Linked DNA regions of Lepisosteus oculatus. The protein of the gene in region 1 interacts with the protein of each later gene in a pairwise test. Links are inferred from orthologs where the notes say so. Each region holds a gene or a part of one and is shown in the gene's direction. Other genes may lie near its edges. The genes, in order: zbtb8a, kinesin-1 heavy chain, zbtb48 and kif9.

Region 1 (7,495 bases):
GACGAGGAAGGAGAGGGCCCGACGGGAGGGAAGTACACGCCTTTGTTCCACGCCCCTCCCACCGATGATGACCGGCCCCACCCCTCCTCTCAGCCAGCCGGCAGCGAGTCCTCCCCTCTGCCCTACGACAACTACCACATGAAGCAGTTTCTGGAGGTGCTGCTGAGAGGGGGGTCCAACCCCAGGCGGGAGGAGCTGGTGCAGCACTTTGCCCAGAGCCTGGGAGGGGGTGTGGGTGTTGGCCGAGGGGCCCCAGAGGAAAGCCTGGGCCTGGGCACGCCTTCCATCATGGAGATCCACAGTGACTGGTACGGAGACGACACAGGTAAGAGCCCCCTGCTGTTAGGATGAAGCGACAGGGATTTTGGTCCCAAGATTTGATCTAACTGGACCGTTTCTATCAACTCTGTCTAGCATGACACGCAACCGTCTCTTATTACTGCCAGACATGTTGTGCTGCTAGGAAGTTCAAAGTTCTGCTAAATTCTGAAATTGCAAGCTCGGGACTCGGGTGTCAGGCTGTCCCCCACTGGAGCACTGTGGAGTAAGCTAACGTTACTGTGGCCACCAGCCACACCTCTACTCACCTGTCGGTCGGTACTGGTTGCTGTGTTTACACAATCAGGTAGCATGCTCCACCTGAGACGGGGGTGGTTGTAACTGCCCACAGGTGAAACAGGCTTCCTGTCTGATTGTGTAACCACAGCAACCGGAACTGACTGACAGGTAAGTAGAGGCGTGGCCGGCTGCCGCAGTAACCCTACCTTACTCCACTGTGCTGCAGCGGGGGAGAGCATGCCATCTCGTTGTCTAGTTCTGTCTGGTTTCAGAGACGGGATGGGGGTTATCTTTAGAACCTAGCTTGGGGCTGCGTGTGCAATCTGGGAATCGGAAGCACTCTCGTTTGGCAGGCCACCTCTTCAAGGACTGGGGTCATGTTGTTGAAGTGGGCCGGGCTCCTGTGGGTTTTGCAGGATACGGCCTCGTGGTTCCTGTGAAGCTGCACAAGTGCCCGTTCTGCCCCTACACCGCCAAGCAGAAGGGTATCCTGAAGAGGCACATCCGCTGCCACACGGGAGAGAGGCCGTACCCCTGCGAGACCTGCGGCAAGCGCTTCACACGCCAGGAGCACCTGCGCAGCCACGCGCTCAGTGTGAGTCCTCACACCTCTCCCCCAGGTCCGGAGCCCGAGCTCCTGGCGCCGCTAGTGTGTCTGTCGGAGGGCAAGTGATTGGGGATCAACACTTGTGAATGAGAAAATATTTAATTTTACCTGTTTGTTATGTCAAAGGTGATATTCTCATCATCATGGTTAAAATAAATAATGTGGAAGCTCAGTTTGATATTGTAGAAAACTGAAACAAGGTTTGCTTTCAGAAGGTTGCAGTTGATGTTTCTTTACTACTAGGTGGCGCTACGCGACAGGGTAGGATGTGATTGGTTTACCTGTCTGCAGGTGCACCGCTCAAACTGGCCCATCGTGTGCAAGGGCTGCCGGCGCACTTTCACGGGCGTGATCTCCCACGGCCTGAAGCGCTTCGGGCTCTGCGACGGCTGCACCTGCGTCACCACCACCCACGAGGACGCCGCCCCCATCAACCTCAGCAGCCAATCGGAGGGCCCCGAGCGCAGCGACGGCGACGGCGACTGGCCCATCTACATGGAGGAGGCCGAGGAGGGGGAGCCCGGGGGCGGGGAGGACCTGGACGACAAGCACGAGCTCCACAGGCAGCTGTCGGAGAGCGAGGGGCTGATGTAGCGAGGGGAGGACCGGCTCCCTCCGCCTCGCTCTCGCTGCGGGCCTGTCCCCGTGGGGAGTGGGCTGTGGCGAGACAGAGAGAAGGTCGGGGTGCTCGTGCGGCAGCGCGTTGCGATCCCAGATTGCTCCCGCTGTAAGGATTGGATCCACGGCTCCACACGCCTTGGTGAGGAATCAGGGCTGCTAGCGCGCGGGGGTGACTGGGCACTGAAGTGGCGCTCTTGGCCCCCAGAACGAGAGCAGCTGTGTGAAACAAAGGCCTGAGCTTCCCTCTCTCACTCCCGTTTCTTGTAGCTGCTAGGATGAGCTTGGAGAAGATGATAACTTCAGGGTTGCAGTCGAGGCCTCGTGCCTCTGACTGGAATCTGCGCTCCAGCAGAGGTTTTGCTCCTCCAACATCACGAAACGTCCACCCAGGAGAGGGAGCTGGAGCCTGTTCCAGCACGCAGAGGGCGCAAGGACACACCCTGGGCGGGATGCCAGCCCATCGAAGGGCACACTGACACACACACACACACACACACCAGGGCCAATTTTCTCAGATGCCAGTGAACTTCCCTACTGTGGGAGGGAACCCACACAGACATTGGGAGACCATACAAACCCCATCCACTCCACAGCATCCCTGGTCCAGTATTGAACCCAGGACCACTGGGCCGCCGTGTTGCCCCACATCACAAGACAGCTTCCATGAATGACCTGTTTGGGTGTTGAGTGAAAGTGGACAGCAGGGTGGTCTAAGGTGAGGTCCCGTCCTGTCCGCTCCGCTGCAGAGCTTTAATACAGCCAGCATTACTGTTCTACTGCTGATTAACGGTGAAATAATGCAGGGCGGGGATGGCTCTGCTGTGTTTGGGAGAAGGCGGGCAGGTCCTGTCCAGCTCTGTTTCCGTCGCTCCTCTGCAACTTCAAGCAGCTCGGCGAGTTCTGTCCCCTTTAACTCTCTGTGAAGCCCGGCCCTTCCTGCTGCCGTGTGCTGGGTAGGGCCGACTTGTGGACCATGCCCTTACTGTACGCTGCGGGTGTGCAGTGGGTACTGAACTTTCTCTTAACCTGCTCAGAGGATTTTGTGGGATTCTGTGTGCCGAAGTTAACTTGTGTAACCACGCGATGACGTCGCGAAAGCGTCTGCACCGGTAGAGAAAAATAAAGTGGAAACAAAAACGTGTTTTGTGAAATATTAAAATTACAGTGGACAAATGCCAAAGCTATCTTTTGTGTTGGTTTACTTATGAACATTGTCAAGACAGAGTAAAAGTGATAGTCGAAATATAGTTACAATAAGATTGTAGCCTTAACTGTGGAGAATGCTTGCCTTTAGTCTATACAATGTAAAACATTTACATTATTGAAGGTGTTACATTAACCTTAAGTAAACAACAAATATTTTGTATGGTACTTATTTATATTGTCTCGTTTTGCAAGCTATATATTTTGTATTACCGTTCTTTGTAAATACTTCCAGCGGCGTTGGAAGTGAGGTTCAGTGCTGTGTTTGTGAAATAAAATCTATTCCAGTGAGCTGTGAGTTATTCTTATGTTCACAATGCTTAGTGTAATGATTAACGCCACACTTCTGCCCCAACTGGATAGAATATGCTGAACTGTAAGGGTTAACCTTGCATTCACGTTTAAAAGTGTTACCGAGGCTGTGAGACTAATTTGCTTTTCCATATTAAAATCAGCGCTTATGGTGTTGGACGCTCTTTTTTGAACTGTTATTAAGATTAAACTACTGGCAGTCAAGACTGAACATTGGAGACGGATTTACATCGGAACCGAGGACTCCTGACCGCAGCATCAGGCGTTTAGACACCCGTGCTTCTTCCTCAGAGTGTCCCGGGAGAACGCCCGCTTGTGTTTTGTGTTACCGGGTGTACTGTGTGAGTACATCGCTTTGGATAAGGGCGTCAGATAATAATTACCTCGAACTTCGCACCCCCCGTGGCGCATCACTCTGCATTTTTGGACAAAGGCTTCAAAAACGCTTCGAAAGTGTGTTCTCAGCGTTTTGTCCAACTTCTGCCCAACGTCTCGCAGCCCCGCCTCTGTAAATTGGACTAAAAGCTAGGCTACAATCGCAGGCAAATCAGTCATGTCGGTTTTTTGAACTCGAAATCACTTTTTTTAACACCACTGAAGTGGACACCCTATAGCCACACAGTACGCCGCTTCTGTGATTTAGGGGTTACACGTACAGCGTACCTAAGTCATTGCACCCTTCTTGGTAAAGTGGAAGTATTTCATATCTACAGTATTAGACGATTTTACACTAGCATAAATTAAATTGTATGAGAGATCAAATCAAACTACCACTCTTAACTGCTCAGAAGACAATTTTAAACGTGAACAGCTTCTCGGAGTGCCGCATTGGTGTGCTTACATTTACCGGGGAATGCGATTTGACATTTTAACAATATAGCAAAGGTTATTTCTTTAAAACGCGGGACTATGCGATAAGTGACTTTAAAAAAAAAATGTGTCACGTGGCGGGCGACTTTTAAAACCCCTGCCCCCGTGCTGAAGTTTTGTTTCGAAGAGCGATTCATCTTGTCATATTTTTTAGAAAAATGACCATTGGTTGGTTTTGTAACTACAGGTGTTGGATAGCCTGCAACGACACGTTATGTGGCGTCGTTCACTCATACTCTCCCTTTAAGATCATTATATGTATTTATTAAGCACACAAAAATCCAGAAAAGAGAGAAACCCTGAACAGCGTCTAAACGCAGTGTGAAAGCCTTAGCTTTGGGGCTGCTACCATAGACCAAACGCACAACTTCAGCGTTTCTTCACCTACATCTCTTACTCGAGGTGTGCGGGTTAGATAACAATGAGCCTGGGGGGGTGAGGGCTTCCTGCCGGTGCAGGGAGGACTGAGGGGTTAACGTGCGCGCTGGGGCTTTAAGCTGCTCTCCGGCCCTCGGGCGCTGCGCTTCCACACCCACGTCAGCACGGCCTCCCTTTTGTCCGGCAACCGGGTTTTCGTCTTTAGGGCTGAGCAGCGACCGTATCGCCCTGCGCCGGAGACGAAGAGGAGAGACTCACTTTTTTTCCATTCTTTTATTTTCTCCTGCAACAAACACACACACACACAAATGGACATTCTTTCCGAAATGCGGACGAAAGGATCTTCACAGACACCCGGCGAGCCGGGGCAACCGTGAGTATCGCCGGAGAAAGCAGCGGGTATCGGGAAGTGAGGAGCGTGGGAGGCAGGGCGCAGGGACCGTAGGGCGTCAGCGGGTCCTGCGGATAATTGCAGCCCGTGAAGGCAGCGCCTCGCACCGCAGAGAACCAGCTCGCGTCTCCGCTGACCATGGTGCTGGGCTGCAGCTGCGCTGGGTCTTCGGCTGGCTGGGTGAAACGGGTGTCGAGACGGAGGACTCGGGAGAGCAGCGTCCACGGACGTGTATCCTCCTCGCCATTTCAGCCAACATATATATATATACGTATTTTTTCGCGTTCTTTTCGCGAAATCCCCGGTCTTGGTTATTTCATTGTTAGTTCTTCGGTGGGCGTCCTTTCTGTAAACCCCAAGGGCTGAGAGCGGAGATCTCGCAGTGGTAACAGCGAGCTCTGCGTGCGAGGCAAAATATCTGGCGGATAAAATGTGATTTTAACACAGTTTCACGACACACTGAGGTATATGCAGAGTGGAGGCTGAACGCACTTCACGATCAATAGTTATCGCTTCCCTTCGTGTTCAGTGTTTCGGTCTGGCAGGAGCCTTCGGGCGCCTCTGCCAAGCCACAGGGTGCTACTGCTGTGCCGTTTAGTTTTCTTTAAACAAAACAAACGTGCCCCTCACGTTCTGAAATCAGAACCCAAATATATCAAATGCGTTTTTTGTTGTTTTAAAGAACTTAAAATAGGAAAGGGGGGGGACCGGGTTTATAGCTGTAGGCTGTGTTCTTAAGAAAAGGGCACCTGGGAAATAAAGGGTATTTTATGCGCTTTTTATTTAAAAAAAAAAACTAAAATCCTGCAGATGCCTTTTTTCAGCTATGGCGCGATAATGAGAGCAGGCTTTCGTGTCGCTCCGTGCGCTGTACGGCAGGGCTGTGTCCGCAGCGCAGTGCCTCTGTCGGTCTCCCCCGGCGCCCGACGCCGTCAACCGGGTGTAGCTTTTCAATCCACTTCGAGAGAGCTCGCCTGTGAGCGGCGGGCAGCCCGGCCAATCGGCGTGCGGACAGGAGACTGGGAGGACGCGATTAACCGTGCGGCGAGACCCCCCGCCCCTCTTTCTTCCTTATTGAACATTTTCAAATTAAAAAAAAAAAAACGACCGAGCTGTTCAGGGCACCCGGAGACTGTATCTCACCGTCCTTTAATCTACAGGCATTTTATCCATTCGACGTCCTTCCATGCAGTACGTGGGCGATGTAGAAATGTCTGTAATGGAAAGGTTTCCTGCTGGTTAAACCAGCTGGAAAAAAGAATCCACTCACTGTAACGTGGTGTTGCGGACGGTAAATGTGGGTTTTTCGTCTATCAGCAGCATCACGACGTCATTGAGAGTATTTTACTGTGATCTTGGCCAAAAACTTCAAGGGGCGACAGGGCCCTCACAATTCTAAGGATGGCTTTCCTTCATCCAGCCTCGTTGGTGAGAGACCCTGTGCACCCCCAGGAAAAACAGTAGTAGTAAATCGGATATTTGTCAGACATGTGTCTTGAATTCTTTCTTTTTCTAGTCTTTGATACCCATCAAGGGCCAAGGATGGACAAAAAAAGACAGAAAACCCAGGAATGTGCTTTTAAATGGGGTGCCAAGGGTTCTTGCATGCCTCATAACAAGACATGTTGTTACCATGTTAACTTTTGAGGCAGGCGCATGCTGATGTCAGAGATACACATGAATTTATCCTGTCTTATTCTCCAACCCACTTGACCTGTCCCCAGCTCTGTCTCTCCTACCTAATTCACTCTCCTGTTCCGCACTCTTGTCGATGTCTCCTCACCCTGGGATGCTCTCTCTCTTCTCTAGGCACCCCTCCCGCGTCTCGGCGCTCAGCGCTGACATTTCCTCCAGTCATCAGAGCCGTCTGCTGCAGCAGCTGGATGAGCAGCGCAGGCAGGAACTCTTCTGTGACTGCAGCGTGCTGGTGGAGGGGCGGGTTTTCAAGGCGCACCGCAATGTGCTCTTCGCCAGCAGTGGCTACTTCCGCATGCTGTTGTCCCAGGGCGCCCAGGACTGCGGGCAGCCTGTCAGCGCCTCCTTCGAAGTCTTCAGCCAGGACACTTTCACCGTCATCCTCGACTTCATGTACTCGGGGAAGCTTGACCTCACTAGCACCAACGTCATCGAGGTCATGTCAGCAGCCAGCTACCTGCAGATGACCGACGTCATCGGCTACTGCAAGAGCTTCATCAAGTCCTCCCTGGACATCAGCGCCAAGGAGGAGGATGACCACTACCTGAGCCTGTCTGAGAACGCTTCAAGGTCTGGGGGTGTCAGAGAGCCGCAAGATTACTCCTCCAGCAATGCGGGGGCAATGCTGAAAAGCCCCAGCAGCTCTCAGCCTGCCTCCTGGCACATTTACAACAGCCCCGAAGTGGACTACCACAAGGAGACCAAGTCTGAGCCAGAGCCCGCCAAGCGCGGCTCATCCCCGTCAGAGCAGCCTTCTCGGCGAATGGGCCGCCGAGCCCTTCAGATCGCTGACCCCGAGCTACACGCCTCACCTGGAGGGTACCAGTTCAGTTTGGGGCCAGAGGGGGGCGCTGGGGAGA
Region 2 (7,942 bases), on another chromosome or scaffold:
TCTGTGGTGAGCGTACTGGTGCAGTATGGCTGCTGTCACATCATACACGTGGTAGTGGAGGGCAATCCCCATTACCTGTAAAGCACTTTGAGAGGATTGTCTAGAAAAGTGCTATATAAGTGTAAGCAATTATTCTTCTTATTAATTATTACTATTTTCAAATAATCCAAAGGAATGTCTTGTCCAGGGTGACCAGCCTCTCATGAGAACATATAGTATTTAATTTTTCATTACATTTGCAAATGACAGGAGGCCAATCAGCCCAAGGACCTTGTTTTGTAGACAGCAGCTGATTGGTCCTAAGACCTCATCCATCCGTTCCTTAAAAGAAATCATGGCATCACCTCCAGCTACTTGGCTGAGCCCCACAACCCTCTACATAAAGAAGTGACTCCCTTTCTCAATTTAAATGCACTTCACTCTAGAAAACATCACCGTCTACTACTATTTTTAAGGAAATAAAAACATTAAACTGTTGCTAAGTTGTCTCTTAAATCGAAGAACCATTTTTTAAATCATGTCATGCTGTCATGCCATGATTTTCAGGCAATAGCAACGTTCAGAGTGAAAGGCTGTCTCATTTTCCATAATCACTTTATATTCTATGAACAGTAGCTAAGAGCTAAGTGTTTTTTCCCATGTTCATGTGGGTTTCCTCTGGGTGCTCCAGTTTCCACAGTCCAAGGACAAACATGTAGATTAATTGGCTTCAGGAAAAATTGGCCTTAGATGAGTTTGCAAATAAATGTGTGTGCCTTGCGCCTATTACCTGTCGAAATAAGCTCTGGATCCCTGCAACTCTGAATTCTCATTTTAAATGCACTTTAGTTTCCCTGGCTCATGTTTACTGTTGATATCCGTTACAAGACAGAAGAAGTTCAGCGTACACATGAAACCTGTTTTATTTCACCATATCATTATTTCGTTTTTGTTTGAACCATCCTCGGTCCATGTAGGGCTGTCCTCTGTCCTCTGTCCTCTGTCATCCTCCTGTTCAAATAGTGTGAATGAAAACATCGCTGGAGGGATACCCTGCCCGTCCTACCCATCTTCTGAAAACATCACAGCAAAATCACTGCTCTAAAAATAAGCAAACACTGAGATAGCTGGCTATGACACTGACTGACACTGAGATTACATCTGAATGCCATCAGTATGAAAAAAGTATGAAACTCCTTTTTTGTGCAACTCCCATACATTCATATAGCAGTGATTTCAGTCCTGTGCTGGACTGGACTGTGTGTGTGCCCTGTGTTGGACTGGACAGTGTGTGTGCCCTGTGCTGGACTGGACTGTGTGTGTGCTCTGTGTTGGACTGGACAGTGTGTGTGCCCTTTGCTGGACTGGACTGTGTGTGTGTGCTGTGCTGGACTGGACTGTGTGTGTGCCTTGTGCTGGATTGGACTGTGTGTGTCCCCTGTGTTGCACAGAACTGTGTATGTGTGCTGTGCTGGACTGGACTGTGTGTGTGCCCTGTGTTGCACAGAACTGTGTATGTGTGCTGTGCTGGACTGGACTGTGTGTGTGCTCCGTGTTGGACTGGACAGTGTGAGTGCGGTGTGCTGGACTGGACCATTCGTGCTCTGTGCTGGACTGGACAGCGTGTACATTGTGCTGGACTGGACAGAATCTTGTGAGGTTGTTTATATCTTTCCAACTACATAAATCACTGAGGAACGATCTTTACCTGTTATAACATGTATGAAGTGATATAATTTCTAAATTGTATAGAAATGCTTTATATTCAATTTTTTTTTGCTCATTACATTAAAATACAGTAGTATGTAATCCTCTGTAACAAAATCCTTTGTATCCCATTAAAAACCTTGAAAGAGATGGGCCTGCTGGATTTTGCATTTTGCCATTTTAAATGATCTAATATTTTCATTCTTCTCTATATCCACATCCTTCTACATACCTTAATCTTAAAAAATCAAATGTGACAATCTGAAGTGTAATTAATGTCACGTAGCTGATAAAGCTTTGAGTATTGTAACACTTCGGGGTTCACATGGGCGCCCTCACTGCTGCCACATCAGGTCAGCCCCCCACCATCAGGGACTTGAACCCAAGCCTCCAGTGTCACTCAACAGGGACCCAGCCTCTTGAGCCAAAGGGAGATCTCCCTTCAGCCCAGCGGCTGCAGTCCCTGCTATACACAGGGAAGGGTGGTGACGTCACTGCGCTGGTAAGCCGGCTCTCACAAGCAATGGAGGCCGTATGCGTTACAATATAAACTATTTGTTGTTATCTAATGTTGGATGTTATCTTTTGTTGGATGGTAGCTTCTTGCTGAAAAAGGCCAGCAGCAGTGTGGAGGCTCAGTCATGCGTTGTGTATTTCTGTGCGTACAGTAAAAGGTGTAGTGAGCTGAAACTGCTCAAACTTCATCTTTGGCAGAGATAATAGATCGTTGTTTCCCTGGGGACAGGGATTTGAATCCTGAATACCAACTCTTGTGATTTGCATTAGCATTCCTGCATCTTGGCATCTGTTCTGTGAGCACATGGCTGGGATATTTTTATGCAGTCCAGTGAAGATGCTTCTCTGCACCAACTGGCCATATACTGTCTCGAAGAGAGAACTGCTAAACATATTTTAATGGGGAAAAAATCCAAGAAGTTCACTATGTGCTTCATTTCAAAATATTCTAAAGCCTTTAATTTATAATTCAGTCATCTGCTCCTATTTAACTTTATTGTCATTGATATACAACTACTCACAAGAGAACCCAACTTTAGGAGTACATACATAGGACAAGAGGTATTTTTAACAATTGGAAACAGGATCTTTCCCTCTCCGGAATATTTTTTGACACTTATTAAAGAATCACAAGGAACTAAATGTTTAGTAAAAATAATTATATTTATATAACATGAGGATCATATTGAGTGATGACATCTGAGCTTTAATGTTGTAAATATGAATGAATTCAAACAGGAGATCTCTTATAAATCAAATCCAAATCTTGGTCAATTTCATTTTCATATTTCCATATAATCTATTTCTTTTTCATTGGTGTGTCATACTTACATTTAGGATATATTTACTGATGATTCAATCTGTTAAAAGAACTATTTATCTTATCATGTGAAGCACTTGTTTTATTTCATTTTACGTCTTTCAGACACATTACGTATTTTTAACTTATGCTTATTCAAAAACATTTCAGATGTTTCAGCAGCTAACATCTTATTTTCTTAGAACACCTAGCACACTTCGTGCTACTGTATGTGCCTTTTGGTTTCTAGAGGTCCAACTAGAGAAACACAAGCAAAGATTATCATCAGAAAACCTTCAATGCCAGTTAAGAGCAGAAGGACATTAAAAATATTACAAATGGACATGTGGTCCAACAATGTTTAGTTATCCTAGTTTTATGTGCGCAAGAATCCCATAATCCCAATAAAAAATAAAAGAAAGAAATAAAAACAAACAATAACATACAAGATCATACAGATAGGTCAATTGGACATAGGCCCTAGTAAACACTTGAGTTTTAGGTTTGGATTTGAAGAACTTCAATAACACTGAAGCAGCCACCGAAGAAACTAAGAAATTCAGTGCTGGGTATAGTGAGCAAAAGACCAGCCTCAACTGAATAGAGCCTACGAGAGGGAGTGTAAACATGGAGGAGCTGAGAAATGTATGAAGAAGCCAGATTATTTAAACCTTTAAAGTCAGTAACAAGCTCTTATATTGAATATGTAATTGTATAGGCAACTGTAGAGAATGATATGCTGCCAACAGAAGAGTGTTAGGGGTACTTTCTAGCAAATTATCAGGTAATGCACTTTATAATTGTAAAACTCTACATTTTAACCACATACCCTTTGTAAACCTATTTTCTTCCATCACACTACCTAAGAAAGAGAAGAGATAAACCAAACTCAAAGATATTTCTCACAGATTGCTAGTTCCAGTTCAGTACCAACAAAAGGTATTTGAAACATACTGTACTTTCCTGAATATTATACTTAATCTGTTGCATTTTGGGGGTATTTGTGCCAACCTGAAAAGCATCTAAATCGTCTTGTATTTCTTTTGCCTTACGGAACTACTGTTGTGTCTCCATTGAGCTTTGTGAGGTTTGCAAAACTCACAAGTTTACTGATTGTAGCAGTCTCTTGCTAGGAATTTAGACGAATAGCGGTTGTATCATAGCGGATTCCAGTGACAACGATGCACAATAGTAAATTAACGACACCGAGCGCTTAATGAATTGCCTTCAGTAAGCAGCCAGACGCACTACATGTGCGTGAGTTGCGGCAACAACTTGAAGCAGGAACTCGCCTGTTGGTGTTGAGCGCACAGGCACTGGGATTAAAAATTGGTGCCAAGACAGAAAAGGAGAGGGCGGGGGACTGGCGCTTAAAAAAGCACGTGCCATCACTGTCCTTGGTTTTACATTTTAGGAATCAACGGCTGCGGTTCAATTATCCTAACCATATGCTCAAGTGACATCATTGTCTCTGCTTCTGTCTGACCAGCTGTTCAACCCCGGAACCTCCCTCTGTGAACCCGTAGGCTGCGAATGGGGACACACGAAGTCGGACGTAGGTGGGGCATCTCGTACTTGTGGTGCAAAAAAAAGCACCTGCATCATTCTTGCACTTTTTATGAAGCTGTCTGAAGTATGCAAAAAAAGAATACCCCCTGTCAATATGTATACACGATAAATGCGCGAGTTGAAAAAAAATATTTATAATGCAAAAGAAGAAATCAATATGTTTGCGTTTCATTTGCTTATGTACGTCCGGTAGGAAAATTCGGTTCTCTGGCAACACAGGTATGACTTGGCGGCGCTGCCCTCAAATCCGTAACCGCCAATCTAGCTGTAAGCCCTGGGCTGGGCCGGTCTATCCGTCTCCGGTTGGGGAGGGTGTTGATAATATCGGAGTTATCTGCAGAGGTGACGTCACCAGCCGCCCGAGAGCAGCAGACAGAAGGAGAGAGAGAGAGATCTGCCGGTGTCATGGCTGCCATATTGGAGAGGAAGTGATTCCTATCCGCCTAAGAAAAGGGGGCATTTATTACCGAGAAACCGACTGGGGGCATCGTTTCTTCGGCACTCGGTGAAGGGTTTAGGGGTGCGGCCTCCGGTTTTCTACCCTTGGGCCGTCCCGGCAGCAGGATCTGATTGTTATTATTGTCAGTTTCATCCCAGAAAGATTGGAAGATGGCGGACCCGGCGGAGTGCACCATAAAAGTGATGTGCCGATTCAGGCCGCTGAACAATTCCGAAGTGATGAGAGGGGACAAATACATCCCCAAATTTCAAGGGGAGGACAACGTTGTTATTGGGGTAAGTTGGGAGCAGAAAAGAATTTTCTTTTCTGCGATCAGGGTGGCATCGGAAGAGGCTGATGTTTTAATACAATGAGGGTTAAAAGCCAAGGGCAGTGTCTGTGCTGTCCACCCACAGATTGACACATGAGCAGCAGCCGACTGAAACTTTAGCTAATAACTGCGGCTTCATTAAAATGCATACTTACTTTTGAATTGTTTTATGCACGGAGACCCTTAACGCTTCGTTTAATCGTCTTTTGAATTCTGATATTTTTTTTCCTTGGCCACTGTTGAAGTGCGCTAGACGCCAGTTATTTGAAAATAAACGATGTAGCGGCCCGATCTCCTAAAGGGAATCGTGCTTCGTTGTGTTTTGAGGCCGGTGGCAGATCGCTGGAAGGGCTGGGTCAGACAATAAGACTGGCCTAATCGTGCCCTTTTCCACGGCGCACACAACAAAGCCAGAAGTGTTGTCCACAGCTGTAACTACGTGGCCGGCACTAGGCATTTCCCAAACCTAAAAGCGTGAACTGCTTTTGCATCGTCTCTATTGGTGTATTCGGCGTCAAAGTGTTCTGTTTCGGCAATGCGGGGGTTTCAGTTGGTTGAAGCTGCTGGACCCGGAGGCCTTCACTCGCGTCGGCCCCTCTCTGGCGTCTCAAAACAAAGCGGTATCTTTTGGGGGAGCGAGAGCAGGGATTTGACAAGCGGCGCTCAGTTGTTATTGCCTGCGTGGATATCCTACGTCTGGGTCTTGGACACAATAGGTGTGCCCGATGGATTAGGCCAATTCGGTCGGGGGGCCCTTTTATTAGGGCATAAAATTCTCCCCCACAGCCAAATAATACAGTGCTCGGGGGGGTTAGAAAATGTTTTCCAGACTGTTCGTCTCCGTGGATGCACGAATGAATGAAGTCACCAGTGAACGCATCAGCTGCTGCTTGGCTAACGCCTAAATTCCACGTTGCCCTTTGCACTCATCGCACCACATCTCCCAAGTGAACTCGGAAAAAGTACTGGGGAGGGAGTCTTTGAACCCGTAAGACTGGAGAGAGTGCGGTCGCGCTGTCACTTGACAGGTGTCAGGCTGGCGTGCGCCGGCCGAGGGGCTCCTGTTTGTTGTGCGGTGGGTGAGGGGGCCCGTGAAAGACAATGGCGCCCCACTGAGCTACCGCAGCTGAGAGCACGAATTCGCCAACGACCGCTACAGATTTGAAGCACAGTCATTCTTGAAGTGCAGGCGCCGATCTTGAAATCGAAAGTTTTTTTTTTTTGCTGCTTTGTGTGCAGAAAAACTTGGCCCCTGCGAAGCGTGTCCTGAAATAGCTGCCCTGCTCAAAGATTTTTCAGTATCCCGGCATCAGCGGAATTCACATGGGGTGATTTTTTTGTCTTCCCAATTACATGGTGCTGACGATCACTGATAACAAGTCCAGCCTTTTGAGGCAACATTCATCAAAATACCAGTTCCTCAGATGTCACGGAGTGATATTCGTGCCTGCTTGCAATTTGTCTTTTTGAAAAACATTCTGCAAAGGCACACATAGGACATGGGCAGTACAGATTGGTCAAATGTAACTGCTGAAGTTATTCATAATATCCATTTGTAAAATACAATAGAGCTCTTTCCACATTCCTCATTGTCCTCTCTGATTTAGCTTTATCACTCTGTGGGACTTCACAGGGATAGAATTGTGGTTTCTGTAGTACACACTGCCTAATGAGTCTTTTGTCAGGACGTGTAACTCAGTATCATGAATATGCACTAGGAAATGTATTTGATCTGTCTTGTGACCTTTTGTAAAGAGGCTCTTGCTCAAAGAGTCAATATTTGTTTGGAAGAAAATAAAGCTTATGAAGAACTACAAGTAGGCACATACAGTATAGAGCTAGACAGTCGTTTTAAGTCAGGGGAACCATCCTGACCTTTGTAGAAAAGCAGCCAGCTTGCTACCCCGAAGGATCTTGTTAATTGAGAATGCATACATGCTCATAATATGGTCTGTGTATTATTTGCTGGCTACTGGATATGCATCTTATTTCTCTGAAAAATTTGGAATTTGGGTTGAAAAGAGCAAGAACGTTTTCCCTTCTCCAGGCTAAAATTCTGTTCTATAACAAGGTTGATTATTGTGGAAGAAAATACACTTCAGCTTTTAAAGCTATCCGTTTTACTGTATGGGGGGATTAAGAATGTTAGAAGGGTCATATAAAACAGGAAGGAAAGTCCACTGGGCCTGTCATTCACTTAGTAGTAGTAGCTGATCCCAAAATTGTGCATCTGCTTGAAGTATACTTGCTTAAGCAGTGGAGTGCATGGTGGTATTTTGGTTAGCAATGCTGCCTCGTATACAGTATTCCAGGTTTCTATGGCTACATTATATGTATAATCAACATTTTTGCTTATGGGGTACGCCTTCATCGTCCAGTCTGTGGTTCGAATGTCAAGTTGTTGAGAAGCTTAGGGAAGCACATACAAAGATCAAGGCCCTTCACAAACAGCACAGTCAATACCGTTGTCTAAACTAAAGGAATGTATGAACTGTTGCACTCTAACCATTGTAACGTTTTAGCATATAACACTGTTTGGACTATAGTCCAATATTCTGTATCAACAAAGTTATAAATGTTAAGTGTTTTACTTAAGATGCAG
Region 3 (7,312 bases), on another chromosome or scaffold:
GGCTTCAAAACACAGTGATTCAACCGCTAAATGAAAGAAACCCTCGCGATTCGCGGTTTTGAGGCTCTGCGGTGCACCAACCCCCACCTCTCTTCCCGCACAGCATGCTGGCTCTTTGCTACTGCACGCTCGAGAAACCTTCACGTTCAGAATCGGGCAGCATTTCAGCGATACTCCAGGGCCTCAATCAGGGCACCTGAACGAGAAGTAAATAATAGTGCCACACATGCGAGAGAGGCAGGAGAGGAGAGGGAATGAAAACCCGTGACTTTAAGCAAGAAAGCCGCATTATCGGATAAGCCTGCAGAGGACAGATCCGGTACCTGCAATGTGCAGCAATAACTCTACTGCATCCACCGTGTGACATGAAGAGAAAAAAGAGAAGACATAGGGGATAGAACATAAACTGTAAGGCCTGTGAAAGGCATTTTGTTTATTTTACATACTACGTGTTAACAGCATTATTACGCTGCTAGTTTTAATGCGTCTCATTTGCTGCCGCTGGCAAATCGGTGTTTATTGGTAAAGTAGAATATTGGCCTGAACCTCTAGAATCTCCAGTATCCCTCAGTTATGATGGGGGGGGGTCTCCCCACAACACAGACTGTAGACACAGGGTAAAAGAGGGTGAGGCAGTGGACCTGGGATTCCTGAATTTTACAGGCCAGATCCCCGCTGCTTGTAAAATCACACAGAGAAGTGCCAACTCCCAGGAACGTGAAAAGCACGTCTGCGTGGGATGGGCCCGTGCTGCTGGAGCTGACCTGCACGGCAATGCGAGAGATGGGAGCTCCTACAGTCCGTTCTTCACTGCCCCCCCACCCGGAAACGCACAGCTGCAGGGCGGCACGGCGACTGGCACGTCATCCGAAACAGCTGTACCGAACATGTTGTACCGGGAAGGCAGAAGTGTTGTTCCCCTCACCGAAGTGTCCGTCCATCCGTTCTCTAACCTCTCTATCCAATACAGGATCACTGGGGGAGCTGGAGCCTACCCCAGCAAGCAAAGGGGTGCAAGTCTATGAATGAATCTATGAATTGGCTTCATCACTCTGCTCTCCTCCCCACTGAGAGCTGGTATGTGGGGAGCGTTCTGGCGCACTATGGCTGCCGTCGCATCATCCAGGTAGATGCTGCACACTGGTGGTGGTGGAGGGGATCCCCATTACCTGTAAAGCGCTTTGAGTGTCCAGAAAAGCGCTATATAAGTGTAAGTGTAAGTAAGTAAGTCGGGGTACATCCTGGAGGGGGTGCCAATCTATCACAGGGCACACCCAGCCATGCTCATGCTCACACCAGGGCCAGCTTTCCCTGAAGCCAATAAACCTGCCTAGCGTGTCTGTGGACTGTGGGAGGACACCGGAGCACCTGGAGGAAACCCACTCAAACACGGGGAGAACATACAAACTCCACGCAGACAGCACCCCGGGGACTGAACCCAGGGCGCACACAAACACACACACCTTTTGCGTGTGCAATTTTCCCAGAAGTCAGTTAACCCGCCTGGACAGTTCAAGGGTTCCTGTTTGATTCCAGCTCCTGTCCCTGTTTGTGTGGTGTCTGCATGTTGTCCCAGGCTGTGGCTGGGGAACTGGAGAGGACGTTTTAATTGCTTACTCTAATTACGGGGTTGTACAGAACCAAAATTAAGACTGTATAGAAACAAAATCAATGGTCCAAATGCTTCCTTTCATTTGTCTCCTAATCTGAAGTCAATGAAATCTGGTCTTTTTTGTTTTTAAAGATTGTATGCCCCAAGGAATGTGATAGCTAACTGTTAAATACGTGTTTAAATGCTACGGTCTGACTGTCACTAATACTTCAAACGTCTTTTGTTTTTGCAAGAAGCTAAAAAAAAACAATAATTATCAAAAACAAACTAAAAAAGCTGCATAATTCGTTGAGGTTAATATAAAGGTCCTTGCGCATGTTATGCATTTGGATTTAATTTCTGGATTCTTGATGCCACTGAAGACCACTGGAGCAGATAAATTCCCTTGAAGGAAAATAAACTGGAAGAACGTGATAACTGTATGATCGATTTCAAAATCTCGCATTATTCATGCAGAGGCTATGGTAAGTCTTTTGTCGGAAAGGCTCAGAGGATTTAGACGAGGAATAAACAGGACGCTACCGAACCTGTGTCTACACTTAAACACTGCTGTTTGTAAAAGCCGCTGTACAACATGTGATTCAATATGTACGCGTTGGCTCACCTATGCTTATGCCCACCACGACTACATAGCGATTTCTAAATAGAACCATTCACACTGCACAGAATATCACAAATAATCTCGCTTAAATAATCGCTGGTAACATAATATTGTTATATGTCTGATTTTGTCTTTATTTCCAGCGACGTTCATCAGCATACAAAACCCCTCTGGAATATGAATTACCGTTCACTCCCATCTGTATTGCCTCTTAGCCCATCTCCACCCACACAAATAATACGTATGGTAAAACGTACCTGTGTAAACCCCACAAAAAGAGTTATTCGCGCTTATCCACCGCTTAACAGCTTTTAGTCGTCGTATTTTTGTAGCCTACAGCCGCAAAATAAAAGCCGCACGTCTCCATGTGTAACAACAGCCGCCACAGCAACAAGCTTCCTTGGCCAACCAAGTCATTCCAGGAGTTACACTTTCACAATTCATTGCATCGGGAATAGGCATATTTGAGACTTCAATCGTCTAAGAACAGTTTTCATATTCACATACATGAAAATTAAAATAGTCCTGGAAAATAAATTTAATTTAATTTAAATGGACAGCGAAATTGTTGTATTAAGCATATAAATACATTTTCCTCCTTGAGAAAACATAAGCTATAAAATGATGGACAGCTACAAACCTTCCCGAAGTTTTTCCGGCCTTCGTTTCTGCGTTGGTGCCCTCTGTTGGTTAGGATATAGTACAGCGCTTCCGTTTTCGCAATATGTAAACGACAGTGTTGAGAGAACACAGTACTTTATTGATCTGATCATTTGAATTAATGAGATAATTTTAAAATTGTGGCTTTCTTATTCGCGCACAGGACAACCTGTGTCAATCAATTGCCAGTGTAACACGTGGGTAAGATAAAATAAACTCCTTCAGTCCTAATAGTTTTTCGCCCCGTTGGAAAATTACACTAAAGTATAGTGAACTCCAAATACATACACACCATTGTTTGAACTATTACAGAAATATATTGCGGTTTGTTGGGTGAAGCCTGCTCCTGTTTTTCATACAGCTCATATTTACCACACTGTAGCTTAATGTGGAGGTCCTCAGACCTACTGTTGGACCAGTAGGTGGCGCCCTTCCTTCTGGAGCATAACATCCCATTCGGTCATTCTATGGTGTGAACCCCCATCTCCCTGGCTGAATTACACTGTGGGGTGGCACAATACAGCCTTCCCACAGCTCCCCCTTAGTTCTAGTGAGGAAGCGGCTCCTCACTTTTCCACCTGAGTCACTGCTGCACTTCCTCACACCAGACTGCTTTCATTAAACCAGTTTGCAAACTACAAGCCGAGGTCACGCCCAGAGGAGCAAAGCACACCGTTTCCCTTCTGGTCCAGTGGCCATCTGACGATTTTTACACACCACTAAAGTTGAAGTAATGACACGTTTTTCTTAAAGTTGAGGGAAAGCTAGTGTGTTAGTGGGGCCAGCAGGGGGCGCTGCCCCTGCGGTCTATGTGGGTCCTAATGCCCCAGTATAGTGACGGGGACACTACGCTGTAAAAAGACGCCGTCCTTCAGATGGGGTGTAAAACTGAGGTCCTGACTCTCTAAAAATCCCAGGGCGTTTCTTGAAAAGATTAGGGGTGTAACCCCGACATCCTGTCCAAATTTCCCCCTGGCCTCTACCAATCATGGCCTCCTAATAATCCCCATCTCTGAACTGGCTTCATCACTCTGTTCTCCTCCCCAATGTTAGCAGGTGTGTGGGGAGCGCACTTGTGCACTATGGCTGCCATCGCATCATCCAGCTGGGGCTACACACTGGTGGTGGTGGAGGGGATCCCCATTACCTGTTAAGCACTTTGAGTGTCCAGAAAAGCGCTATATAAGTGTAAGCAATTATTATTATGTCTGTGCTCCCTCTAGATAGTCTCTGAGAATTCCCAAGGCTGGCCAGTTAAAAAAAAACAACCCTTACCCATATAAACCTTCACATATATATCAGATTCCGTTTTGAAAACTGGTTTTCTGTATAAAATAGACATGAAGAGAAACTGCGCCCCACACTGCAATTGACAATCTTCCTGGTGAAGTTTTAGCCACGCTAGTACGTCATATCCGGTCTCTTCTCCAACATGGCCTCCTGTAAGGTAGAAAAAAAGTATTTCGAGCCCATTTGTTTTTTCCCCTAAAAGTACCATTCGAAATAGCATGAGCCTGATCCCATTCTCTCAGCCTGAAACAAAGTACTTCCCCTCCATCCTCAAATAAGGTAAGAAGCACTTTCGTCGGCGGTTTCTGTCGTACCAATGGCACGTTAGGGACCGTCTTTAAAAACATGCCTTCCGTCGTAAACGTTGAGCTAAGGGTGAGTTGGTACTCATTCTGCTAAGAAGGAAACCGAAAAAGTGAGTCATGCTGTCATGGTTTTGCGTATTACAGCATTGGGACTTTCAGAGGAGATAAATCACCAACGTCTTGCTCCGCTCGTCAGAAATATTAAAATGCTGCTGACGCCTACCCCGGTGCAGTAGGGGTACAATGTGTTACTTTAATGTACTTTGTCTAACGTTTTGGAGAACAGTACTTTGATCCGCCCTGTCCCTTACTTGTCAAATGCAGTACCCCCTGTAGCTGTACAGTAAAAAGAAACGCAAACTTTCCCAGCCCCATGCGTCTCATAATGGACAGGGGCGTTTCGATGTTTTTAAACAAATCGAATTAAACTAATTAAAAGGGTTTGTTGACGATGTTGAAATCTCTTCACCACAGGTTCATGAACGGTATACAGTGATTCAAAAAGACCTAGAACACGTACTGGGTCAGAAACCCAGGCACCAGAGGTGACCTAAGCGAGTGCGTTTTACAGTTTTTATTGTCACACAATATTTCCCCCTCGAAAACCTGTTCCAGTACTGCGACCTTAACATGGCCTAACGATAACAAATTCCTATCGTGTTTCTGGAGCCTTAGACACGAGAGAAGTCTCCTCATCCATGCCCAGCTGAATACATTTAACAAGAAGGCGTTGTTCATGCACCCATGTGTAAGGCTAGGCTGTCATTCCATCATTTACGCCAATCACATGTATACCGTTAGTTACGCAGGTAAGATTAGGCAATTCCACGGGCTTTGAAGCTGTTGACAGGCCGTCCGTGTCTGCTCTGTGCTTAAAAGGCTCTGCGGCGGAAGATGGCAGCGCTGGAACACAGACATGCCCAGCTGGTGTTGTCCTCCCTGAACCAGCAGAGGGCGCTGGGTAGCTTCTGCGACGCCACGCTGAGCGCGGTGGATGGAGAGGTGTTCCGGGCCCACCGCAGCGTGCTGGCCTGCTTCAGCCAGCTCTTCCGTGACTCCTACTCTGCCACCCCCTTGGTGGAGGTCTCCCTGCCAGAGGAGTGCCCCTCCGAGGGCCTGGGGCTGCTCCTGGACTTCATCTACACCGGGGAGATGAAGCTCAACGCTGGCACCTTGGACAAAGTGCGGCAAGCTGCTCTCAGCCTGTCAGTGCCCCACGCCCTAGACCTTTGCCAGGAGTTCAGCCAGGGTGACCAGCGCCCGGCCAGCCCGCTAGAGAAGTCGCTGGCCAGGGACGGCGACAGCCAGGAGTCTCCCAGGGGGGACCCCGAGGCACAAGGGGGCCCGGGCCAGGCCGAGACGCGGGGGATGCAGCCCAGGCCCCGGCCGGCGCCCAGACCCAAATGCAAGGCCGCCAACAGCGCCCCGCGGCCGCCGGCCCCCGCAACCACCACGACCCGCTCGGGCCGCAGGGTCAAGGGCCCCAGCCGCCTGCTGAGGGACAGCCCCCCCCCTCCTCCTGCCCCTCCCCTCCCCCCGCCGGCCCCCCGCCGAGCGGAGCCGCTGGCGGCGCAGGGAGAGGGGCGGCGCGGGCCGGACACAGGCGAGCGGAGCAGCAGCCCCTCCGCGAAGGGCACAGAGGTACCAGGGTCGAAACCAGGGGGGTTTGCCGCGTAGCCACCAGGGGGTGTACAGGAGGGGGGCATCAGGCCTGGGTGGTGTGCTCGCTCTGTGGCTGGAAGGTTGCCGGTTCGTATCAGAGGAATCCTACTCCGTTGGGCCCCTGAGCGAGGCCCTCAACCCCAGCTGCTCCAGGGGCGCCGTATAAATGGCCGACCCTGCGCTCTGACCCCCAGCTTCTCTCCCTGTCTGTGTGTCTCAGGGAGAGCAAGCTGGGGTCTGCGAAAAGACACATTCCTAATGCAATAAAGTGTATAGGGCCAATAAAGTGATCTCTAATCAGGCCGGGCCCGAGCCCAGGGGCAGGGAGTGCTTGAATTGAAAAGGGTGGGGTGTTGAAGTTCGATATTGTCTGTAAAAAAATTAAGTCCTACAACTGAAGTATGTTTTTGTTCTGTTAATCCAAGAGGTTCCGTGCTGAAAAGAAAGGAGACGCGACGTTTCTGAATTAGGCTCCACAGCCGAAAAGTTGTGTCTCCTTTCTGCTCTTTCCGGCGTGGAATGAACCGGACGCAGCTCCCTGCCGGAAGTCCAATAATTCCCGCGCTCGCTCGAACACGAACCTGAGCTTTTAGTTAATAATAATTAATAATAATTGCTTACACTTCTATAGCTCTTTTCTGGACACTCCACTCAAAGCGCTTTAGAGGTAATGGGGATCCCCTCCACCACCACCAGTGTGCAGCCCCACCTGGATGATGCGACGGCAGCCATAGTGCACCAGAACGCTCCCCACACACCAGCTCTCAGTGGGGAGGAGAGCAGAGTAATGTAGCCAATTCATAGATTGTGGCTACGTTGTCTTTTCTTCCCCCGGTTCATGCAGATGAACAGCCGAGAAGCGGCTCTTTCCCCAGCCGGTCTCGTGGCGGGGTGCTTGACCGAGTTTCCTCTCGCGGCTGCAGGAGGGGAAGCCGCCGGAGCCCGCCCGCGAGGAAGACGAGGAAGAGGAGGAGGAGGAGGAGGGCGAGGGCGGGGGCCAGGAGGACACCGACGAAGACTACCTCCCTACCACCGCCACCCCCACTGCCGGCGCAGCGGGGCCCCGGGCCAAGCGCAGGGGCCGCGGGCGAGGGGGGGCGGTCAACAAGGAGAACGGCGAGGGGGCGGGGGCCGACGCCAAGAGGGGCTCCGTCCAGTGCCCCACCTGCCACAAGACCTTTC
Region 4 (6,858 bases), on another chromosome or scaffold:
GACCGCTTATGTGAATCTTGTATTTCAAACTGCAGCCAAGGACTTTATAAAGATCCTAGATACAGTACCCTCCAAGGACACTGAAACTTGTACTTTTTTTATTCATCGGTGAGCTGGCTTTACAGAGGATGCCATATCTCTCTCAACAGTGTCAGCCACCTGTATACACTGTATGAACTGTGATTCCAGAAGGCATTTCAACCTTGTTTAATCCAGAAAAATTTAAACCAAAAATAAATGGTATAAACGAAACATTCTTGTATTGTAATTCCTTTTATTAGAGGGCTCAGCATGGGCGTAGATGACTTGAATCTCGGGGTCTGTTTTCTTTTTGCATATTCCCACAGCCAGAAAATGCCTTTGTTTTTTTTTAAGTGAGAAAGGTATCAGTGATTTCAGATATTAGGTTGAGGTCCGTTAAGTTCAACAGGCGTAATTTAGGTACCGTATTTTCTCATCTGCCATATCACATACCAGGGTTCTTATCTGATTGACTGGAACTGATATAAGTCCATATAGTTAACATAGGCTGTGCTGGAGTAAAAGACTTGAAGAGAATGGACCTGCCGCAGCTCCGCAATGGAAGGTAGGCCCTGCAAGCAAATAGTTTTTGTTGTTTTTTTTACCATATATTCCAATAAACATACTTAAATGATAATTTAAAATTAACACACAAAGCATGGATAGAAGGAACTTGTGAAATAGAAATCCCTCTCATGATTGTTACTGTATCACTGGCTGCAGAGATTCTAGGAGAAGGGACATTAGGTTGCTGAGTAGTATTAGAAAAGGCTTAAGTGCAGCAGCCTGATGGTCAGTAGTTAGTTGTGAATGTAGACCAAACTTTGTGAGAAAGAGGATTGCTTCTGCCTGGTCTTTAAGAAGCAGGAGCCAAGGCCACTGACATATCCAGTGTCCATTTACAAACATAATAACACAAAAGTGCATTTAGCTTGGATAAGATAGCAAAGGCTCTCTCCAACTTAAAGAGCTCAGGTTAATTGGAGCACTGCGGTTTCAGCACATCGCTGCTCTTGCTGTAGTAATCGGGATAAACAGAGAATGCTAACACAGACGTCAGGCGACGCAAGTCGCTTCTATCTGGACGCCTGGTAACCTGTGAAGCACCCTAAGAGGTAAACATGACATTACAAAACACTTTCACTCACTGCAAGGCCCCTGCAAGGCTATCGCCCGTGCAGCTTCAGTGCTCTTTACAGAGGGTGGATCACAGTACACCTCTAACAACTGTCATGGCGGAGGCTAGGCTCGGTCCTGCAGGCCTGCTAACTAGTGCAAGAAAGAATTGTCAAGTATTACCCACCCCCCCCACAACACTTCACACCATACTGTAGTTTACTGTGTCTCTACAGTGCTCAGCTGCACAAGACTTGCGGGGAGGGAACACACAGGGCCTTGTGCTGCCAGGTGTAGGGTATGATCCCCTCTTCACCACCAGTCACTGACCTGTTGTTCAAGCCCACTAAAGGTGCTTCACGTCTTTTAACAATGATGAACTAAAAATATGGTGCAGAATTTAATGACAGAAATAAAATATTTCCACTGACAAAGACACAGCTATATCAAAATCTGGGGAGATGTTTAAGTCCTACTAATACATTATTTTAAATTGCTGCCTTCAGTGTATTTCAATCCCACAACAAAAATATTTATAAAATTGATGGATAAACCTTAAGAGTTCCTTAATGGTTTTTATTTCCTATCACATGTTTACTGGATTTTATTTTACTTAATATATATTTAGATAATAGGAGTTATAACAGGAGCTACTTGTACAACTACAGTAGGATATTTTTAGACCTATGGGGATTTAACAGAATGCAGGTTCTGCTTTTTAAGATCGGCTGATTTTTGGGCTATCATTAATCTAATGAGTAAATGTCTTAGATACGCTTTTAATAAAATAAAATAACATAACAGTTGCATCTGAACAGTATTTCCTTCGTATCTCTTATCAATGTGCAACATTTGCCTTTACCTTTCTTACAGTTAGCTACCATCTGGCGCACAATGGCCATTTTTGGAGTTTAATACGATTTAAATAGTAATTTTCCATAATTATGAAAATTATGTTTAGAATGAAATAATATTAATGGAAATGGTGAAATATTCTAAATTTACTTTTTTATTACAGTCCCAACCCTAGTAGCGTAGCAAAACCTCAGGTCAATGAATGTTTAGGGCTGTTAGATACCAGCGCTTTTCGTTTCAGAGATATTCGTAATGTATTTAATTTCTCTATTTGTGTTCACAAAGAAACAAATCAATCAGACAGGAAAACAGTAACAATGCAGGACATATTTTCCGCTGTAACAGCTGTTTCCCGGTTGGCTTTAACCACCCCGGTTATATTTACATTTTGGGGATCTCTTCCGGGCTTTCGTCTACAATGACAACCAATTAATTTAGCCTGTGTCCAACCTGGAAAAGGGCATCTTAGTTTGGAACAAGGACGAAGAGCATCGGAGGCCCTTTTAAATCGAAGAATATAGGATAGAAACCCTCATCCACCCCAGCACCTCAACCAAGACAATACTCCCTCTTTAAAGGCAGTGGCAGCGAAAGGCACGGTGCCTCTCGGTGAACCTGCTGAACAACACGCGTCGGGTTGATTTGTACCTTGAGGGTGACGTCGCACAGTTTCCCCTGCCTCCGGATCTCTTCCATCACCGCGTAGCCCCGATTCGGAAGGTCGCTAACAGAGAAATGCATCAAATCATCTAGTTCCTCGAATATTAGATCTTCCATCTTCATTGAGAAAATAAAAACGACAGAAAAAAATCGGAAACGCGGATTGAGCCTGAGTAGCTGCCGTAGGGTTTAATATTACTGCTGTTGCGCGTCAGGGGTTGCGATATCATTGGGCAGTAGAGTTGAGACGGATTAAATGGTGGTTTGATTTGTCCTGGAGAGAATAATCTTAAAATTGGGATTAATTTTAGGGATTACATTGAACACCAGGAACCTAGATGGGCAATAAAACATAGTATATAAAAATCGAGTTTCCACACCAATTTAAAATACATTTAGAATGTTTATATGAAATCATTCAATTGGTTTTGTTATTAACGCTTACCATTCGAGTTGTCAAATTGTAATCAAAAATTTAAAAAGTTACCTTTTTCTGTTCGTCGCACTTCTGTACTTTGTCTTTTTCATTGCTTGAAAGAGTATGTGGTGGGCTTGTACTAATTTTTACACTTTGATAGATAACTCTACTAACAATTTATCTACATAATTTATGTATTTCATTTTTATGTGATTACAATACTATATTGTTTATAGTTATTATTTCATTTATAATAAAATGTTGATTTGGACAAATCAAGGCAATATCCAGTAAAAAATAATAGTATTCATAATCCTCTGTTTTTGGTGGAATGGTTTATTAGCATCCTATCACAAACTACAATAAACCTACAAAATAGAATACACAAGTGTTCTTACAATGAGGGGTACAGAAATCAGGCAAGTGTTAAAATTTACAGTCCTTTTGATAATTCTGTATATAATTCTGTATATAAAGAATATATAACTTCTGTATACATGCAGCACCTAATACACAAATATGGAATATGAAATAGCCGAATATAAATGTTAAAATATGAATAGACCATACTAAAGGCGTCGCTGGTCAGTTTAAAAGACTGATCCTTGTGGAACCTTGTAGACACACACATTACAAATATAATGTGAAATTGTATAATATATATTTATTTTTATATAATTCTCTGATATATGATACAATTATTGTATACATTACTTGCCGTAAAAGGACATGTCAATGATTTTCCGTACGGAAATTAGGTCTTCCGCACGCATCCGGGCACGGTTTCCATGGTGATGATGTAAACATTATGTCTTGGTGAATGAGACTGGAGGATCTGGGGCGTTTAGACACGAGACTATTTCCGAATTAGCTGATTAATAACACAGGTATGTGGGATGCTAGTAATCAAATCGTTTTTTTTTTTATAAGACGAAATGGCTTCTAATAAATTATAAATGTTATTTATCATTTTAACAATCCTGAACTGAAAATAAAATAGTTTCTGTTTCCACAACGCATAAATATTTTCAGCCTGAAATGATCCTGTACTTCTTCCTATAATGCTATTACATTTTATCGTCTGACAACAGACACAATCTGCACGTACTGTACTACAGTGTAATTTATTACACTACGACTGCTATGAAGTGGATTATTTATAATCACAAAGAACAGCCTAATCAAGTAAAATAGCAAAAACATCATTGTTGTGCTCAAACAATGACAGATGAATGCAACTTCAATATCGATTGGAACATTAGCAGCATTAGCTATATACTGTATCAGCTATAATGAATCAATAAAAAGCAAAACATTTGTAATTTCAGGATTACTCAGTCCTTGTATTAGAAACATTGAAGGTGTCCTGACTCACCACGTTGGCTAGTTAATTTGGGGTGAGTGGTAAACTGAGCTTGGCATTTCTGTGTTAGCGCAGTGTTTTATGAACTGAGCTGTGATGTAAAAGAAAAAGCATCTGACACAGTGAAACTCGGAAGCTCTTGTAACTCTTTCAAAAATAGAAATTAAATGATGAAGAACAGCAATAAAAAATTGTTGCACACACCTTTTGCAGATACACATCACTACATCATACATCACTATGGCAACCTCCAATGACCAAATTCGAAGCATGGACTGTGATGCTAATATACTGGATTGAACTCTGTTTTTAACAATGTTCTTCCCCTGATCTCCCAGCTGGACATGAGCTCCAGGGGCAGTGGGGTGACGGTATTTGTCCGCACCAGGCCGACTGCCAACTTTGCCCAGGACCTCATCCAGTATTTACCAGATGGCAAGGTATTCTGCTGTGATACATCATTTCAAGACTCATCACATTCACAATCAACATCATTTACTTGACACCATTAGCAGCAACAGAACAATAACTTTTTCAATAAAAAAGTTATTTTTCCTTTAGAGCTATTGAGAGATTGCATTTCTGTTTCTAACTGAGAATGATTGTTAAAGTCACACTTTTGTACAATACCAATGTATTGGGTACTACATATTAGAAATACAGTAAGCATATTTTTTAATACGTGCAGCCCCTAAAAAAATCTGGGTGAAACAAGTCAAAGGTGATCTCAAAAATTGCTGACTCAGTCTCACCGATGCTAAAGTAGCGGCTACTGACAAGCAAAGATGGAAGGGAATTATATGCGATACCCAGAGACCAGCAGCACTTACAACGACGTATTGGCTTCATGGGTGACCACTGCTATATGTGCGCTAGAGGATGATCAAGCCATGTCAAGTCACAGTAAGCATGGCTTGACACCATCCTCCTTTTAGGTTAGCTGACAGCATGTGGTTTTGTTACTTTAGATTAAACGTTACAGAAGGACTCTCTGGAGCAGTCAATATACAATATAGAGAAACAATATAGCGCCTATGTATCGATTTGTCCTTTGTTCCTTTCTGGTTATTTACCTCTTAACATCCTTTCTACACCTGTCATCTCCCCCCCCCATCCTTATTTCAGACTATTAACATTCACATGAGAAAGACAGGCCAGAAAGGGCTGGTGAATAACCAGCTGTCTGACTGGTCATTCCGTCTTGATGGTGTCCTCCATGACGTGTCCCAAGAGAATGTGTATGACATTGTAGCCAAAAGAGTGGTGTTGGGAGCACTGGACGGTTACAATGGTAAATTGAATTTTCAACATTAGTCTTGGAAGTCTTGATATTACTGGTATTTGATTTGCTATTGTTTTCTATGACTTGCATTGTGTATTTAGCATGCATCTCTATGCTTTTATTATGATGTCACTGTACGTTAATACACTAATACTGTACATGCTTTTACTAGAGTTTACTGTAATGGACTTTAATAAGGAGTTCATAATACCTGTGAGATTTTCTTCTTTAATTACCTAGAGCATCAGGCAATTTAAAAACTGTTCTTCTGGTTGTTTTTCATCAGCTCATAACTTAATGTTCTTCTTTTGGCTGTGAATCAGTGAATATTACCTCTTCTTTATGCTTATTTAAGAATGTATAAACTCTATGAACTTTTATTTACTTTTTGTATGTTAGTTGTTGTCTTCTTTGTGTTAATTGCTTAATTGCTAATTGTTAAATACTTGTTTTAAATAATTTAACCAAGTTAAGCATTACCCAAAAGTATAACTGCAGTTTATTTAAAATTATACATTTAAAACAAAATTTCTAATAATTTGTCTGAGGTATGTTTTCCCCTGGTTCATCACAATACTTTATTTAGTTAATATTCTTCTTCAGAGACTTTCATTCCTTGTCATTTATTGGGTGTGGTTTTTATGCTTCTTCTATTTCTTCTTATTTAACAGGTACAGTGATGTGTTTTGGACAGACAGGTGCTGGAAAGACACACACTATGACTGGAGCCACAGAGAGCTACAAACAGAGAGGAATCATTCCCAGAGCTCTGCAGGAGGTACAAAATACTGTGGTGATTACAGCAGTGGATGAGACGCTGGAATTCTTTGAGATGAAAGGCGCAATATGAAATCAAAAAGTTATTATTAAACTACACATGTGTGAGGTCAGGATTGTTTTCAGGACTTGCAGCATGCACCATCATCTATTCTATTTAATGGCCCAAGAGGTTGAAATTAGTTTTTTATGGTAGTAAACTCCGAATTCTGAAGATTTCAAACAACAAATTGGAATAATTTATCATCTACCATTATAAAGTCAATTTGTACAGTACACCACATTATCTTGTTGAATATTTGTAAATATACTAATGGAGAAAAGAAACGCAACAACTCCCCCTCCACGCTCAGGCCCTCCTGTCTG

The links.
Region 2: the proteins of zbtb8a (region 1) and kinesin-1 heavy chain interact in binary tests that used the Homo sapiens proteins (3 or more experiments, as listed by UniProt). The two-hybrid records come from large-scale screens. The link is inferred for Lepisosteus oculatus from reciprocal best matches to the Homo sapiens genes ZBTB8A and KIF5B.
Region 3: the proteins of zbtb8a (region 1) and zbtb48 interact in binary tests that used the Homo sapiens proteins (3 or more experiments, as listed by UniProt). The two-hybrid records come from large-scale screens. The link is inferred for Lepisosteus oculatus from reciprocal best matches to the Homo sapiens genes ZBTB8A and ZBTB48.
Region 4: the proteins of zbtb8a (region 1) and kif9 interact in binary tests that used the Homo sapiens proteins (3 or more experiments, as listed by UniProt). The two-hybrid records come from large-scale screens. The link is inferred for Lepisosteus oculatus from reciprocal best matches to the Homo sapiens genes ZBTB8A and KIF9.

The regions. Positions count from the first base shown.
Region 1 is NC_090706.1:2,398,148-2,405,642, reverse strand, and holds the start of zbtb8a (zinc finger and BTB domain-containing protein 8A), read left to right. Parts: upstream 1-4,484; 5' UTR 4,485-4,857; coding exon 4,858-4,922; intron 4,923-6,749; coding exon 6,750-7,495. Other genes in the region: zbtb8b (zinc finger and BTB domain-containing protein 8B), read left to right, coding at 1-325, 975-1,153, 1,409-1,759. UniProt on the Homo sapiens protein: May be involved in transcriptional regulation.
Region 2 is NC_090701.1:39,349,646-39,357,587, forward strand, and holds the start of kinesin-1 heavy chain, read left to right. Parts: upstream 1-4,940; 5' UTR 4,941-5,179; coding exon 5,180-5,305; intron 5,306-7,942. UniProt on the Homo sapiens protein: Microtubule-dependent motor required for normal distribution of mitochondria and lysosomes. Can induce formation of neurite-like membrane protrusions in non-neuronal cells in a ZFYVE27-dependent manner.
Region 3 is NC_090720.1:9,105,391-9,112,702, forward strand, and holds the start of zbtb48 (telomere zinc finger-associated protein), read left to right. Parts: upstream 1-4,294; 5' UTR 4,295-4,442; intron 4,443-5,347; 5' UTR 5,348-5,362; coding exon 5,363-6,109; intron 6,110-7,053; coding exon 7,054-7,312. UniProt on the Homo sapiens protein: Plays a critical role in transcriptional regulation and chromatin remodeling. Acts as a regulator of telomere length. Directly binds the telomeric double-stranded 5'-TTAGGG-3' repeat.
Region 4 is NC_090701.1:26,375,293-26,382,150, forward strand, and holds the start of kif9 (kinesin-like protein KIF9), read left to right. Parts: upstream 1-3,849; 5' UTR 3,850-3,957; intron 3,958-4,398; 5' UTR 4,399-4,467; intron 4,468-4,771; 5' UTR 4,772-4,777; coding exon 4,778-4,873; intron 4,874-5,558; coding exon 5,559-5,724; intron 5,725-6,386; coding exon 6,387-6,493; intron 6,494-6,858. Other genes in the region: klhl18 (kelch-like protein 18), read right to left, coding at 2,641-2,775. UniProt on the Homo sapiens protein: Essential for normal male fertility and for progressive motility of spermatozoa.